Linked DNA regions of Neodiprion lecontei. The main gene of each other region encodes a partner of the protein of the gene in region 3 in a complex. Links are inferred from orthologs where the notes say so. Each region holds a gene or a part of one and is shown on either strand. Other genes may lie near its edges.

Region 1 (7,185 bases), about 8.1 Mb from region 3:
ATGTGATTTATTGAAGAACTTTGATTGGTAGTGAAAGATGTTTCAATATTGACACATGGATATTTACCACTCACAAATTTTTCAGCTTGAAACAAAAAAAAAAAAAATAATAAAACTTAAATGAAATGAATATGCATATGAATTTTTAAAGAACAAATCATCTCAACTTGATACATTAAAACATGGTATATGTTCTTGATGTTTTAGCCACGTTTAAAAATATTATTAAATTTCTACACTGAAGTGTTTGTGGATGGACGTGAACAGACTGTAATTTAGGAAGAAAAAAGGAAGAAACACGAAAAAAACCACGTCAATTTCACGGAGTTTTCAATGGACTTGCCAATGTGTATCAGCTTGAATCCAATCCCAGCTAATCGATAATCCTCGAATCGAATATATCCTTGCTTGAGGATCGCGTTCCTGAATTTCCTCTTGTCCAAATTTATCCTTAATCCTGATTATCCTCACTGCGACTTATCTTTAATCCGCTTAAATTTATGCTCCATACAAATCCATCCAAAATGCATTCCATCCCATCCCATCGTCAAGTATGAACGAAGCATTATATCCATCCAAGAAGTAACATCGTGTAGTTTCTCAGTTTTTCATTCATTGTGTTACAATCCAATCCAATATACAAAAGAAGAAAAAATACATTAGTTTCTTGATACAATAATAGATAATCGATATCAGATTCGAAACTTTAAACCCCAAACGCGTATTCTGCAATCCCTAAGCGATTGTAACGACAACAGGAATGAATCTTTGTATTTCTTTCGAATTATGAACACATATTAACTCTGTAATAGAATTAAATATATTTTAAAATACAATGAAAATACGTTATAGGCTATTCCTCTGTTGCAATCGAAGGAATCGCTTCAAGATTCAGATAACATATAATTGGTGTGAAATCGTTTTGCGACGAGTTGTGTAAGGAACATTGCTGAATTTGAGCATGCAACTCTGACCTATGACTCGTATATACAATTGATAATATTCTCAAAGGAATGGATATTTTACTTAAACATTTATAATATGTAATACATGTAAATATATTCAGATGTTCCCATTGGTAAAAATATTTATAATATTCAGAGCCTCTTTGCATTATCGACTCAGAGCGAAAGCTTATAAATATGTGTGCAGTTAGAAAATCTTTTCACATTTACATCTTTTAAGCACAGGATTGAGTTATCCATCAAAGACTTATAGAAATGGATTGGTGGTTTTAATAATGCAGGAGAATACGTTTTACTTTCTGCATAAGCTTTAAAATGACTATACTTTGTGGTTTGCCACGTATATGCTTTGAAAAAGTGTTTTTCACAATCCATTTTCATAAGTGTTAAGACTTATGAATACTGAAACTTGTCTGTTGCAGATAGTTTTCTCATTAAAAGTTATAAACGTATTAAACATAAGGTGGGAGATGACGCGGTGTACAGCATGTTATGAGTAAAAAGATGCAGTGGGGTTGTCAGCGCAATGTCTCGCAATGCTCATGATCACCAAATCATTGTTCTCATATTTGGCTACCATGAGGTCTCATCTGACAAAGATCTGTTATCCTGCAATAATAATTATGGCTTAAAACAATTTTTATGGGCAAAAAATAAAACATTAAATCACGCGTTGATCCGTATTTGTAGATGATAATGATATATCACGTCATATTTGTTGTGAATTGCGAATTTTACGCCAGCTCCGGATCTACAATCCTATCCCTGATCTAGCTGATAATGATAATTAATCGGGATTGCAAACATTATTCCTTTACATGGGCATAGTAAAGAATATGCACATGTGCGCATTTTAATATTATGGTACCAAGAAATGGAACGAAGACTTTATGTAATATTCCAAGAAATTGCAGATTGATTTGATAAAACAATAGTGGTACAGAATTATTCGACATATCGAATATTACTCACGATGTATATTCAAAAATTTCGGCAATCACTATAGGTTTCGGTGACGATTCATATCTTGTATCAAAGCACTATTATGTTTAAAAAAATGTGGCCGTTAAAGATGTTTTCCTTGAACTTTTGTAATTGTCTAGTTCAATTGGTACAAATTTATTTGAGTAAACCGAACACTGTTAACTTTACAGACATTATGCATGAAAAGCTATTTCAATATCAGAACATCAACCACAATTGACAATTAATAAAACTGATTAGGTTTAACTTGTAGAAAAAAAGTGATGCAATTCACAACAAGTATAATGATAGTATTCAATTCCTTTCAATTTTTCGATGCCAAAAACTTGTCAAGATTTCCCTCTGAAGTGATCAAGAAAGGGATGAAAAATTATTAGGAAAAAGAATCATGTTTATCAAAGACTGTGAAAAATCTTATGTTACACTGCACCTGTGATCGTATGTATTACACAGGTAACAACATACTTGTCAATTATGCAACGACAACCTGAATACAGTTTGTAAAATACAATTTACAATTCATTCAGCCAAGATAAATGTCTTTAGTGAGTCAAAGCAGTGAAAACGAAATTCGGCAAGGCATGAGTGGTTGAAAAATCACTCATATTATCACTGAGGTTATATAGTATTGATACGTACACACTAATCGTATGAGCGAGACCTGGAGCGTGAGCGTGACCGCGAGTAGTTGCGACGCAATGGCGAATAGGTAGGAGAACCACGACGACGTGGACTGTAACTCCTCGAACGAGTACGTCCTCTCTCTCGATCTTCACTGCGGCCGCGATCTCCACTGCTGTGGTCTTCTTTGACACGAATGTATGCAACTTCACCCTGAGAATTGGGATAAAAAGTTAACGTGACAGTCACAAGAAATAAGACATTTACGATCATTGTTTAAATAATAATATATTTGAAAAATGCTGAAGTAGTGAGAAACTGTTGTGGCTAAGGCATGTATTAATATTGAGGCAAACAAAATTTATTGTAATTGTCATGAAATAAGGTGCAATCCTTCAAAAAATTTTAGGCCAATTCAATTACTGCAATATTTTTACCTGCAGTACATTAAAAATTAACTTAAATCGATAAGCTAGAATTTTCAGTTTTAGAAAATTACATTTTTTCAATGTCTAGTTTGTCATTTACAGAAGAGAAAATATGTCTGTGATATGGAAAAAGATAGTTCAGTTAATTGCACTCCACTAAATAATTACAAATAAACATAGAAGTTGTACCTCATGCGATCTGAACCTGGAGTCATCTAATTTTTTGACCGCATACTTCATGTCTTCGTAACGTAGAAACTCAACGACACCAGTCCCATCTTTGTAGACATCTGCAAAGCAAACGTCACCTGCTTCGCGCATGTGGTCTTTGAGATCCTGCCAGCTTCCCGAGGATGGCAACCCCGTAACCAATACTCTATACTGAGATCGACGAGCCGGAGGACCACGGCCTCTAGAATTGCTCATTTCACCTCTGCCACCTCTACCGCCACTATCACCACCTCCTGCACCACGTCCCCCGCGAAAGTTGTTACTTGGTCCCCCACCCCTGGGAAATTCTACTCTCAACCTATAGCCATCATAGTCATAACCATCTCTAGCATGTACTGCATCTTCGGCATCCCTGTAATTTCAATATAAACATCTTTACTTATTTGTTTATTTTTATTCATTTGATCAAAATGTTTCAGGTGAAGTTTACTGAAGCTGTGTAACTTAAAATTAGTTCACATCATATATGAAATTGGTTTGCAACATGAAACTATCATTCTACAATATGAACTGAATATCTTCGAAAAGATTAGTCAACTATTGGAGATACTTTGAGCCTACAAAAGACACTGTCAAGAAGTCAGATTGTTAGAAATTCCTAATCGCCAAACTCTGCAAAATTTGTAGTAACTTTGAAAAAAACTTTTGCCTAGCTATTTATGCTGTCCAACTGAATGAAATTGAAGACTGATTTACATGACAGCTAGTAAGGTTTACTGTTAAAAAATCTACAATCTTTTTTTAAAAAAATCATGTTTTACTACTCCTCATCAACTATGCAAATCTTGATTCCGAGTAGAACCTGTTTTGTATCATAAAATATATCTGAAACAGTCTTGAGTTTCGATAAACTGCAAGTCGGAGAACCAAAACCTGCAGTTTTTTGATTTTTCTTGTTTTTTTTTTTTTTTTATTTTATTTATTCATTTTTTATTTTTTTGTCGAGTTTTTATAATGTTTGATCTGTTCAGTAAAATTCCTTGATATTTCCCAATTATGCTGTCTTGTAAAAACTATAGGATGCGCAAAGTTAATAATTCAGTAACCTTGCAAAACTTGTATTTTTTAGGTCAGTGTGGCTTGTTGCACTATAAAGTAACCAGACGCACATCCAGAATTTTTGGCTGAGAGGTTAGCAGACTACGTATTTGGAGTGATATGTAATTCACTTTATAGATGGAATAGACCCTGAGTTTTTACATACAGAATAACAACTATAACAGCAGCATGGTTGGTAGCCACAAACTGGCAGCGAAATCATAACCCAGTGTGTGTTGGGGTTTCGGATGACAACGCAATACAATAATTTATCAAGCCCGTAGCAAAAGTATGATGAAGGTCGAACTTCTTTCAAAAAATAAGACACAGAAAGTTCTATGGCCCAAAGTCTCAAACCCAAGCTTGCCAGTTCACTGCTCCAGAGCCTTAGCCACTGCGCCACCTGCTCGCTCAAGGATGGAATATACCCGAAAGTATTTTGCTATAAAGCCGTGAAATTTCTCGACTGCCAATCTTGCCGTCATTTACATCCACTGACTGCCAGTGCCTAGATACTGTGGGCTTTAATTGATGTAAAGTTTGAATACAGTCATATGTAATTTCCATTCAAATGTGCGCTCGGTGTAACAAGTTTCACAGTGACTTCTGCAAGCTATGCAATATGCATGAACTCTCATCCGCTAAAACGATTAAGCACAATTTAACTTTAAAGTATCGCCGTGTATTTGTGCATAAATGCGGATACGTGTTAATAGACGTAATTCGCTCATGAATTCAAATGGTTGGTAAATTTGTGGTTGCTATCAAAAATAGATCACGCAATGTAAGTACAAGGTTACGTTGCATAGGCCTAGAGATGAGCATGATTATTAGCGACAAGGGCGGAATAGAGCGCGCTGAGCATAATATGCGATAAACAAGTATGCCCAACACCCGTATGTTAACCTAACAGGTAGAAACGCAAAAAAATACGTACCTTGGGTCGTCGAACTCAACGAAGGCGAATGGCGGCCCCCTACGATTTTTCAAGTCAACAAAGGTAACTTTACCAAATTTGTAGAAAAGATCCTGAATGTCTTTGGTACGAATATCTGGTGGTAAATTTCCCACGTAAATCCTACACTCGTTCCTACCACCGTGAGACATCTTGATTAAACGGAATAACTAACAGAGTCTAGTTAATCATCAAATGCAACAGTGACGATATTTGCGCCTTAATTGTTCACGGCCGCTGCTTCACTCTTAGTGGAACAAACAAGATGGCGTGGCCCGGTCACAGTTCGGAAGCGGATACTTTAATTGATTTGACTAGTCTTTTTGAATTGGTTTAATTAAAACTGAGAAGAGAAAGATTCTTGTGAATAACAAAAAATTAATCATTATTCATGGGTTGAAGATTTTTCAACTTATTTTCAATGCTACAAACCCGAGAGGGAGCTTTGATTTCAGTTACAGATGTTGATTTGACGGTGACCAATTGTTGCAAGTACGATGTTTTTGTAGTTTTCATTTCACTCCGTACATATATATTCAGGAGAAAAAAATCAATCACTTATGCTTTGATAAACGGAAAAAGGACATATAAATAAAAGCAAGCTGGTGATTGTCAAAGATACGCACGTTACCGTGACGGTTTATTTATATCCGATCCTGAAATTTGTGAAGTCACTATTGAGTCTTAAAAAAATTTTCGTTTTTCCAGAAATTACAGTAGGTAAGTTTAGATATTTGATTACACATGTTACCGTACGAATCCCTCGTTAACGTATCCCATCCCATTTTCTTTTCATGAACTCTAATATTTTACCGTCAATATACTAAATTTCACAATAATCGCTAGGCTTGGAGGCGTATGTTGCATTATGTTTTCATTACGTACAATATTAATTGGAACAAGCCAAAATTCCCTGCTGCTGGTGTATATTCGACTTAAAATGGTGAATAAAGAAAAAATAAGTCCGCAAAACTAACAATTTGAACAATAACAAGAAATGATGTGATATTTCTCGCTGCGGGTGTAATAATGTTTGAATAACGTTTGAATGCGTCATCGGTATCCCTTCTTGCGCGGGCTGTACGACGCAAGGCATGCCGGGTTGATAGAGGACCCTGATAGAAGACCCTACACCTCGACCAATCAGGGTCGAGATACGTTGAGGTACAATCTTCAACCCGTGAAGGGATTTTTGGTGTTTGGCTCGAGCGCGGAAAAATCGCGGAGTAAATTCGGTTTGCCGCGGTAAACTGTGTGAAACGTAATCGAAAGAGCCTCAAGTGTTTGCCAGAATATAAACTAGCTGAGTGTAGCTTTTTAAAAGGTATGTTAACAGCTACTTTACGAAATATTTCGGTTTCAAACGGTCGGGGGGGCAATGATCTTACTGTCAAGTTTGGCTTTCGTTGGCGGTCTCTATATCACCCATTACGTATTCGCGAATATTAAACATGACATATATTCGTTACCAATTACAATTCTATCACTCGTTATTCTCGATCGCGTGCCGATCCTGCGACATATTTTCTTATCGATAAAACAATACCCGTCCCGCGCTTCTCCTCGCGCTTCGCCGTCGCTCCCGCCCGCTTATATTAACCGAGCCTCTTCTGCTGCTGGCGATCTGGCATCTGGTATTGACATGCCGGTATTTGACGTTCACGCCACTGTCAAAATCGCGCGTGTTCTACCTCCGAGGTTCATTTAAAATTAATTCGTATATTAGGTGCGAAACCTCACAAATTACACCTTACTCTCCAAAATTCGTTGTTTTCGTTTCCATAATCTCATCTTCTTTCGTTTGTGCGATTTAGTATATTTCATCTGAGTGCATAGCCCTAAATTTATACTCTGAATCACTCATGTCGATCAAGTAGCTCCAAAATTTACGTGTCTATTGTAATTACGTATCAGACACCCCACTGGTTACTGTCGATGTGCAGTCGAAACTGTATTTCAACCT
Region 2 (4,973 bases), on a different chromosome or scaffold from region 3:
GTGTCGGTCATTGAGACATCTTCTCTAGTCGATATTGTTCCAATTTGCGATCGCCGACGGGTAAGTGAAAATATTGATCGATGATTACTCGGTAGTGCTGCGTTCTCTATCCTTTTTTAACGCGCCGCGAACATGGAAAGACGAGAGTGACAGAGTATACAGAGTCGGTACGTCAGTTGACGATGATGACACTACCAAATGCAGAAAAACTGACTCATCGTACTGACGTCGATAAATCGCTATTCAATTTTTCTGATATGCGGACCTTAGTGAAATATGTAGAGGAACCTGGGGCAAAGTGAACCATCGCGGAAAAATGGACCGCCGTTGAAATAGTCGAAAATCGGGCGAAAATAACCCGCTCGGGCAAAATGGACCTTTGATACAAGGTGTGTTCCGAAATTAGGTGGCAGCGCTAAGAACTCCCTAGGACAGAGGCAGAGCTAATTCCGAACTTGGTAGCGCAAAAGAGATAAAAGATTGCTGACATCGCTGGGAGATAATATCGGAACGCACCTGTAGTAGGAGACCAGACCGGATATAGAGCACCTTAGGAATATTTATAAAATTATATTTCAACCTTCAGTGTACAAAGTGTGAACACACAATGCTGAAACTTGATACCGAGATGTCCATCATCATAATCTTGCAATTGCTTTAATGAATTGTCAATTTGACCTGTTTCAATATGTGAAATAAAACCGATTTTTTTCAAATAATCTGCTAATCCTACCTTAACTTAGCGAGGTAAGCCTACCAAGGTTTTAGGACAAGAAGAAAAGACAAAATAAACGTAAATACGACATTTTTTCATGCGCTCCATTTTTCCCCGGATTTTAGGCAAATGACTACTCGTGGCCCAGTAAATTTCAATCAAATTGTTTTCTGCGTGAAAAATTAATAAAAAATCGTATATTGCAGACCTAGAAGGTATATTTCCTTAGGGGGTCCATTTTTCCCGGGCACTCTTGATAAAAATCGTGCGACTTAGTAACGCTGCATCGTGACAATCAGCTCAGCGTTGATATCCGGTAGAACTCCATTTCGAAATTACTGATTAAATTTTACTCGAGCTCAGGGTCGTAAGAAGCGAAACTTTAACCGATGGATTTTATTCGCTCAAACACCTTCGCGATGTCACTTCAACAATTATAGCACACGAAGATTCGACCGTTAAATTAACATTCAATTGTTTAGATGTTAGCGCCTCGGTTGTTTGTCGATTGTTTATGCTACGCGGCCACCACCGCCCCCCGCCAAAATCCGTTGGCAAAAAATTGATGATGAATAGCTACTAACTGTTTCAGAAAAAAATTCCTTTGAAATCTTCCGAAAAGTTTGTCGACCCGATTTATATGTTAAACTAATGATTAATGAATACAAATTTACACTCCAATTATTATGCCAATGGCGGAGAACTGCCAAACTGCGGAATTATACCAACTGATTTTTTCCTCAATTCCGTTGAGTTGCACTCGCGAAACGTCCGCAAATGCCGGTTTTACGTTCGGACCTCTATGATCCGAAGCCAACTTCTCATAGCTGCTAACGTCATACCGATCACCGATTATTGTCATCTCTTTTATAGAAATGATTTTGTCTTTGTACATGAATAATTAATGATTAAACGTATCTACTTGAAACATGCTCCTCTAATCGCTAAAACGTTCCTTTGATCGCCACAACTGATTAAAACGAACCGTTAAACTTTAATTTGCATCGTCGAGGCAAAGTATCGAACATACAATGTATAAACCGGAACATGAAATGCGATAAATCGAAAACGGAAACTGACGGAAACAACTGAATCTTCCGACATTCCCATATACATATACATGTGTTGCGCGGCTACTAGCGCCATCACTGAACGCCGTCAAGTCCAGATTCCGAAAAGCGGTACTACAGTCAGAGCGTCAGTAATGGCGGATAGTCGGCTATCTACAGTACGATAGTCGGAAAGTTGGCGTGGGTCCTGTGTCGGCCGAAGCCAGCGTCGGTGTTCTGTAAAATGGCTGACGGTGACATTGATTTGTACGCCGACGATCTCGAGCAAGATTTCGCACAGGTAAGTCGAATTGTCATCGAAATCCCTAGACGTCGTCCCCCGCGTAATTACTTTACCTAAATCTCAAAAACTCTGTATCCGGCCTAGTATTTGGCCCGGAGAATGTTCTATTCGCTTCCGGCGTCATGGTCCGGATAACGATCGTGTATTATTCGATATCTAAGCGCTATCAAATTATCTGTAGATTTACCCCGATTCACGTGTAAACTACTATGCATACTCATTTTACAAACCAGGACGAATTTGCTGGGGAAGGTGTTGACCTGTACGACGACGTGATCGCAGCACCTCCAGGTGGGAATAGTGGAGGGGCAAATTCTGGTGGCGGAGCAGGCGATGGCGATACAACCTCAACTAACGAGGAGACTAACGGTAGCGCTCCTTATCATCAATTGGGCAACAACATTCAGCCCAACCAAATTGGAAGACGCCACCAACTTTACGTGGGAAACTTGACCTGGGTAAAGCATAATTATGACAATTATTTGTTCGAGCCATTATTTGCTCATCTACGCTGATTGGAGTCTGAGTCTAATTCGTCGAGTTAGCTTTGCACGGTGATTCAATTGATCATGACAAATTGCTTCTTATCCTAAGGCTCAATACAAACTTCAATCAAGCTCCAGCTTTAGCTTACATTCAAGTTTGAAAGTTAGCATGCCAAAGTTTTTAGTGCTTTGCCAATTCGTGTTACACATCTGTTCTCATTATTTTTGTAGATTTTAAATAATTTCAATATATTTTAACATTGCCTGATTTATTAAAACATAAATTGTTTCAACTAATGGCTGCCTATAAGTTATGTGTTAGGTTGTTAATTCCAAAAATTTGTTGATTCTTTGAAAATTTCATTATTACACTAGTAATCGAATTCAGTATTAACAAAAAATTTATCAGATGCTTACTTCAATAGATCACTTAGCTCGCTCACAGAAGTGAACTGTGATTCTTCACAAACTTTTTATTTAAAACATCTGTTCTCGGTGTTTCATTACAGGTAACATATGAATCAATTGTTCACTATTATTACATTTTTTCTCGGTCCCCTCCCAATAAATGTCATGTACTGTAAAATGCTTTTCTGTTCTGTCAGAAACATACGTATACTTGATGTACTTACGGTATCCTTGTCTTATGAGGAAAACGTGATGATTAAATATTTTGCATAAGTTTTTAGAATCTCTGAAATAAATTAATAAGGCTTTAAAAAGACAAAAGCTTTAGTGATTTCTACACTCACATGGTTTTTATGTATCCATGTAAAATTTTTGAAGATGACTACGATACTCCCTCTGAGTCACTACACAGTTTTATTTATGAATTTCTTTTTAGGGAATGCTTTCTTATTCTGTACTTTAGTAACATACGCAATTGAAACACAGAGTGTGTTTGACATGAAGCACACTGATTCTCCATCATAAATTGTACTTTACATAATGCATGAATAAAAATAATTAATTCAAGTACTGGTAATAATATGCATAACAATGAAACACTCAAGTGTTTGGAATTTTTTGCCGCTTGATACTAATTAAAATAATCGAATTGTGTTTGGATAATGTTACAACGAAGCCATTCAAGGAGATTTTTCAACTGTCTTAGATAAAATTGACGAGGATCTGTATAAATATTAATTTATCGAATGATGTTATTTTCTAGTGGACGAGTGATCAGGATATAACTGATGCGGTTCAAAGTATCGGTGTTCCTGATTTTGTTGAAGTGAAATTTTTTGAAAATCGTGCTAACGGACAGTCAAAAGGCTTCTGTGTCATATCCCTCGGTTCTGAACAAAGTATGAGAATATGCATGGAACGGCTTCCTAAGAAAGAACTGCATGGACAGAGCCCAGTTGTGACATTTCCAACCAAGCAGGCACTTAATCAGGTAACACATTATTTTGATGATATTAAAAGTAACAGTAATTATTCCGGTCTTGGGAATTAAAAAATTTCAGATCACTAAGACAACAACCGTTATCGCCCTATCTGCACTGATATTTAAAACATCTTTGAATTCTTTCGGCAAGAAATTTGTGAAGATATATATGTTTGGAATTTTTGTGATTTTTTGATCGCAACACACGTTGAAATCTTCATGAGTTAAGTAACGGTATTTGTCCTTAGTTTGAGTCTCAATGTAAGACTCGACCAGCTCCAGCTCCTCAACAAAGTCAAAATCAACGCCCACACAATCCTCATCAGCATCAAACATCCTTACCTCCTCATCAACAACATCCCCAGCATTCACCACATCCCCAACATCCTCAACACCCGCAACAAAACCACGGCCCCAGAATGATGATGGGACCGCCGCAAGGCGTGCGGAATCAACGTATGCCTTTGCCTGGCATGGGACCTCCTGGGCCTGGAGGACCTGGACAACAGGGCCCTCCAAGAATGCACGGGCCACCCATGGGCCCTGGTGGGCCTCACCATCCTTTACCTGGTCATCCTAATCAGGGTCCACCACCACCAGGCTATCAGCAAGGTCCTTGGAACGGACCAAGACCCAATGGTCCACCCGGACCACCGCGAGGGCCTGGCGGACCTGGTGGCCCTCCACAGCAAGGACCACCAGGATCAGGACCTGGACCGCAACATCGGCCGCCCGGAATGGTACTTGCATGTACCTACTTAGACAAATCCTCGTGAACTTTCATTTTACACTGTCTCAATTTTACTTAACTTTCTACTTTATAAACCATAACTTTGTCAATGCACAGCAATTTCACGGCGGACCACCTGGACCTCCGGGACAAGGGCCGCCTCGTGGACCACCTGGTCATCCTGGAGGACCGCCTGGTGATCCTAGAGGAGCCCCACCTCGTCCAGACTGGAATAGACCTCCGGGTAAGTATTGATTTACATTGTTCTTTTCTCTTTCTGTCAATATACCTACTAAGGAG
Region 3 (5,102 bases):
GAGTTTGCTGTTGGCCCTGCGGCCCGACAGCACCTGTTAAGGCCGTGAACATTTGACGAAAACAGTGACAGCTGCCCACAACAAATACTACATCCTTGATCAGTTCAGACACACGGCCTCGGAAATCGGCAAAGTCCTCACCGCCACCGCCTTCCTCGACAAGGCCCAACTGATGAAATTTTTTCGTTATTCACAACAGTCACGAAGAAATTTTGCGGTTCATGCACAAAAAGCGTTACTCACGTGGTCCGGTTCCATTTGGCAATGCCTACATAATGCTCCAACAAGTCGTTCAAAGTGGGGTCTAAAAGTGGTGTTAAGATCATCACTATTTCGTTGATAAAGATCTTCTGACAGTCTGTACCACAAGTTGAAAGTGATCTCTGCGACCTAGAAGAGATGAGCGTTTAGCTGAAACGTTATTCATCCGGCATATGCTTTGAGACATTTCATTAAGTGGTAGAAAAAGGTAAGAAACTTAGAAATGTCCGTAGTCGACCCTTTTATTATGTTACCTCGTAGTCGTGATGCCCTACACAGGTGAGCACAAGATCGAGTATCTTCACTGAATAATGTTGCTTGCCTCCTAGGCAACCGCTAACCATTGTGTCTAAAAAAGACTCAGCAAGTTCCGTGAAGATACGACAGTAATTCATGGATCTGTTGAAAATAGAGTATGCATAAAACTATCAGTAAATAACCAGTTCATTATGGTCGATAAATTGAAGGAGAAATGGTATGTATAGGTATCTCTCAAAAAAGAAATAGACAATAGAATTCGAAGTACTTCTCCATATCTTCATGAGCAACGGATAAGTGATAAGGCTGCTCAAGATTCATCACGCTAGTGAAGACACACAGTTGAAGCTGCTGCCGTTGCATTTCTATTTCACCGTTACTTTGGCTATGATTCAAGCAACCTTCGTCTTTCAATGACTGCAGTAAAACACAGACGCAATCTGTGGCTACTTCATGTAGCTGTGATCCTGTCATGTGGTTACCGAGTACCTGCACGAATGATCGAGCAAAATTTACAACAAACGAAAAGCTTTAAAATTCAACTAAACTTTTTATTCTACCTTCTGTTTGTATCACCAAATGAGAAATAACATAAGCATTCCAAGTGTAATTTGATATGTTGTTAATATAAAAATGAACTTTGCACACCTTTCAGTGACCACACAGTTTAGCTTACCTGGAAAGCGTATGCCACAACATCGCTGCTTCCGACAGCTTGAAGGGATATCGCATGAACTGCTACCCAGCTGGTAAAGCATCGAAGGATCCTGACCTGAATTTGTGCATTGTCACCACCGTTTTCTAAGCAAACTTTCTGCCAAGAAAAATATCAATTCATTAAATGTCCCACTACCAGAAGTGACTTTAGTTTCATAATTACAATTAATTGTTTCGAAATACAAGAAACAGATCTCAAATTCACAATCTCAAGCGCAAGTTTTTGAAGTTGTGCTAGCCAAAGTTGGGCATTGCTTGACTACCAAATGTTGGATCTATAAATAAACAACCGTAAAATAACAAAGAATAAGAAAATACTCACCAAGAACTCTGTAACCGTATCGGCACTAGCATTAAGGTCCATGATGATATGCTGACGCCGGTTAGCGCCTAATCTAAAGTTTCAAACAATGTATTCAATTACTTAGCGTTATCTCAACACCCACTTTTCAAGGTAGTTTGGAAAATACATACAATGTAATTTTTTGTGTTAAATATTAGCAACTCACTTGAGAGATCTGGAGTTGACTTCTTCTGGTAAAACTGTCATGACTTCTAAGAGTGGCCATAAGCTAGCTGTGGCTCCGCCAAACCTGTTGATTAGATCAACAACTGGCTTTTGCCATGAGCACATTTGCAGAGTGAGATCTGCGAGTGCTAAGCACAGCTAGAAGTAAAGAAAGTTTTAAAATACCGAGACAGTCAAGGAAAAAAATTCAAATTTCCAATTAAAAATAATTGGATATTATTTAAGGCAAAATATTTAAAATTTCATGTTCCTGTGTCAATTGTATAACTGATGCGCACCTGTGTAACGATGACGTTGCTGGTGTGCTCGTTTATTTGGGATATGTGATCCATCAAAGAGTCTCTCAATGAATTGTGAGCCTCTGCAGGCAGTTCGTGAAATGACAATTGTATCTTTGTACGCATGGTCTGCGCAGCAAAGTAACAAGATTCTACATCTCGTTTTTGCTGTAACATTTCGTCCGCTACTTTCCATGCGAACACCTGTAGAAACAAGATATCACGTTTTCCCACATGCTTCTCAGCTACAGATATGAAATGGAAGGGTATAATTTTTTTTCAAAGCCCTAATTCCCAACACTCTCAAATCTTCAAATTTAATTTTTTGTCGCAATAAACTGCATATTTTGACAGAAATTAAAAAAAAAACTTTAAATCCACTTGTCGGTTAATAAAGAAATTGCATATAAATTTCCTCTCGTTTTCCAAACATCAGACCAAGATCTAGGCATTTTGTTAGCATGACGAAGTTTGACATACAATTTAAACTTTAACATAATTATCAGCTTCTTCCAAATCAAGTATTAATTTTGTCTCTTTTTTTTTTGTAAGGAGGGCATGTGCCAGGATCAAAAAAAGTGGTCGACGTCCGAGAAAATTACAGGTTATGACGTGTGATGGTGCACGCGACTTTCTGACGTTCCGAATCGAAAATTGGGACTGTAGTGAGATTAGATATAATATGAGGGCCGAGGACTCCTTCCGGAACGAAAAATGCTCGTTAGGTATAAGATTTTCAACAAACTGAGGTTAATACTCACGGAACTTTGTAGCTCCCCCAACCATACCGAGGCCTTTTCCTTCTCGGCTGAGTTTGGGTTGTTGTAAAGGGAATACACAGCCTGATAGACAGTTTCCAAGGAAGGCGATGAATCCATACTTTAAAAAATAGTTTTCCCCTAAATAATCTCCATACATAAGAAAATCTCTGTCACAACAAATTCACAGGCGTTGTTGGACGACGATATCGGTCATGATCCGCGGCCTGTCCTGACTTCACTTCTTGTTTTTCGAAGAGTCTGCTGCAACGGTGCCGGTACATGCTGCACCACGCAACAACCTTCAGAGCCAGTGAAATTTTCTATTTCAATTTACAGATGGGGCTAGTTACCAGTCGGTTGGAAAAATTTCTCTCTCACCGACCAAGCCCGCGGTAAATTTAAATTCATCTTACGCCAAGTATGGTAGAAAGATTGAACACTATAATCACTGTTGTCAAATTATCAACAGCATAACTCTTTATTAACAACGATACACGGTTCATATAAATGCTTAGAAATAATCACGCATATTGATGTGTTGAGCCGACCGAAACGTTCAATCATCGGATGAGGGCAGTAATTTTTTATTTATTAATTTAGCGAAGGCTGTCACATTTTCAGTTTTGACATGACAGGCACAGGTTACGGGGTAAAAAGATCAAACTTATGTTTCAAAAACATTCATCGACGCACTCGACTAAATTGAAAGAGCGAGATTTGATACATAAAAGAATTACGGACCTCGCTGAATTGCAGAGAATCTACGAGTTTGGTGAGATTTTAGGGAAAGGAAGCTTCGGTACTGTCGTTAAAGCGAGTCACAAAGGGTCGGGGCTCAATTGGGCAGTTAAAATTATCAATAAGTCTCAAGTACGTTTAAATATTTATTACATAATAAGGATCATCGTTGCGTCAAGTTTCATGCAGAGCACTAAGTTATTTTCATTAGGCTGGCGCCTCGAGAATAATGCTCGTCGAACGGGAAATCCATATTCTCAAGTTGGTCTATCATCCGAACATAATCCTCCTCGACCGCGTTTTTGAATCGCCGAAGGTGAGAATAATTTTATAATTTACGTTCCAATCGGTTCAGTCATATTTACACAGTTTTACTAACATTTTTACTAGATATTATATAGTAATGAATGTGTTTTTTTGTTTATAGACAATTTATTTAATATTTGAGCTTTGCACGGGGTCGTTAGCAAAAACTTTCAAAGCGAAGAAACGCTTCGAAGAAAAGGAAACATTGACTGTTATTCGTAGCTTGGCTGGTGCCCTTTCCTACCTACACAAAAACGGTCAGTGAAATTACTGCAAGATAGGCTCATCGATATTTCACCCTTTATAACAGTATTATCCTTTAAAGCACTTATAATTGTAAACCGTGCTGTCAACGTGAATTTAAACCATTATTCCTATAAATTCCTGGAACACTCAAATAGCTTTCAGTTCCAATTCTTGAATGCTTCTATTTCAACGCTAGAGTCGATTCGAAACTAATTAACTAAGTATTCAAATATGGCAATTGATCACCACAGAGAAACATGCCTGTAGTTATAGGTAAATGATACATTAATTCGTTGAGGATCGATTACATTTTTTATCGTACTCTTATATTTTGAAAACATATCTGTACAGACATCGTTCACCGTGATCTGAAGTTGGAAAATATTCTGATCGCTGCGAACCCGCAAAATCCGGACGACGATTTACATATAAAAGTAACGGACTTTGGGCTTAGTGCGGTGCGGGGCGGTACGGGATACGAAACCATGCTGCATGATTGTTGCGGCACGCTTACTTACATGGGTAAATAAATTCTACTGAAAATATTATTAGACTTAGATATAAGTCTTATATAATATTATATAATATTACTCATTCGCTTATAATTACAATCGGTTCCAATATAAGATATTTGAATACAATATAGGTGTTTGAATTTATTTAATTTTGTTTAAAACCGGATTTTTATCACCAACGTCTTCTTCGCACAGCGCCAGAAATGATCTCCACTAAATCTTATAGCCAGCAGTGTGACGTTTGGTCCATGGGAATTATAATGTACGTCCTGCTCGTTGGGAAGTTTCCATTTTATTCTACGAACGATCAGCACCTCCATATGCTCGTTAAAACACAAGAGCTTGATCTTTCTGGTGCGTAGATATAATTCACGTACCGTGTACGGTACCTTTCAAACGAATTAAAGACTCTCGTGTTATATTTAGGTCGAACAATATAACACTAAAATATAATAAAATATATAAAGTATAAAAAAATAATAATAAATTACAC

Evidence for each region.
Region 1: the proteins of transportin-3 (region 3) and serine/arginine-rich splicing factor 1A are in contact, whole or in part, in a crystal structure (PDB 4C0O), measured with the Homo sapiens proteins. The link is inferred for Neodiprion lecontei from reciprocal best matches to the Homo sapiens genes TNPO3 and SRSF1. Residues at the interface, in NP_036602.1 of Homo sapiens: His155, Arg157, Arg160, Thr167, Tyr254, Ile256, Glu257, Glu304, Glu340, Ile341, Phe343, Asn344, Tyr347, Arg348, Glu351, His352, Lys355, Thr356, Arg620, Asn656, Glu660, Arg661, Arg664, Arg667, Phe668, Arg671, Ser698, Cys699, Tyr702, Ile706; in NP_008855.1 of Homo sapiens: Ser116, Arg117, Arg118, Ser133, Trp134, Gln135, Lys138, Asp139, Arg142, Glu143, Gly145, Asp146, Cys148, Tyr149, Ala150, Asp151, Val152, Tyr153, Arg154, Val172, Arg173, Asp176, Asn177, Arg181, His183, Tyr189, Ile190, Arg191, Arg198, Pro200.
Region 2: the proteins of transportin-3 (region 3) and cleavage and polyadenylation specificity factor subunit 6 are in contact, whole or in part, in a crystal structure (PDB 6GX9), measured with the Homo sapiens proteins. The link is inferred for Neodiprion lecontei from reciprocal best matches to the Homo sapiens genes TNPO3 and CPSF6. Residues at the interface, in NP_036602.1 of Homo sapiens: Arg620, Asn656, Arg657, Glu660, Arg661, Arg664, Arg667, Phe668, Arg671, Ser698, Cys699, Tyr702, Ile706, Asp709, Asp747, Asp750, Asp751, Arg754, Arg758, Gln761, Cys793, Arg797; in NP_008938.2 of Homo sapiens: Tyr521, Arg522, Glu523, Arg524, Ser525, Glu527, Arg528.

Annotation. Positions count from the first base shown.
Region 1 is NC_060262.1:33,701,756-33,708,940, forward strand, and holds serine/arginine-rich splicing factor 1A, read right to left. Parts: upstream 5,491-7,185; 5' UTR 5,375-5,490; coding exon 5,205-5,374; intron 3,582-5,204; coding exon 3,188-3,581; intron 2,784-3,187; coding exon 2,592-2,783; 3' UTR 2,589-2,591; intron 1,575-2,588; 3' UTR 594-1,574; downstream 1-593. UniProt on the Homo sapiens protein: Plays a role in preventing exon skipping, ensuring the accuracy of splicing and regulating alternative splicing.
Region 2 is NC_060265.1:7,461,489-7,466,461, forward strand, and holds the start of cleavage and polyadenylation specificity factor subunit 6, read left to right. Parts: upstream 1-1,915; 5' UTR 1,916-2,008; coding exon 2,009-2,065; intron 2,066-2,301; coding exon 2,302-2,526; intron 2,527-3,724; coding exon 3,725-3,952; intron 3,953-4,191; coding exon 4,192-4,683; intron 4,684-4,790; coding exon 4,791-4,917; intron 4,918-4,973. UniProt on the Homo sapiens protein: Component of the cleavage factor Im (CFIm) complex that functions as an activator of the pre-mRNA 3'-end cleavage and polyadenylation processing required for the maturation of pre-mRNA into functional mRNAs.
Region 3 is NC_060262.1:41,795,751-41,800,852, reverse strand, and holds the start of transportin-3, read right to left. Parts: upstream 3,038-5,102; 5' UTR 2,922-3,037; coding exon 2,805-2,921; intron 2,248-2,804; coding exon 2,044-2,247; intron 1,904-2,043; coding exon 1,746-1,903; intron 1,632-1,745; coding exon 1,559-1,631; intron 1,334-1,558; coding exon 1,196-1,333; intron 1,009-1,195; coding exon 788-1,008; intron 661-787; coding exon 516-660; intron 391-515; coding exon 244-390; intron 170-243; coding exon 1-169. Other genes in the region: serine/threonine-protein kinase 33-like, read left to right, coding at 3,471-3,674, 3,754-3,858, 3,970-4,105, 4,446-4,616, 4,805-4,963. UniProt on the Homo sapiens protein: Importin, which transports target proteins into the nucleus. Specifically mediates the nuclear import of splicing factor serine/arginine (SR) proteins, such as RBM4, SFRS1 and SFRS2, by recognizing phosphorylated SR domains.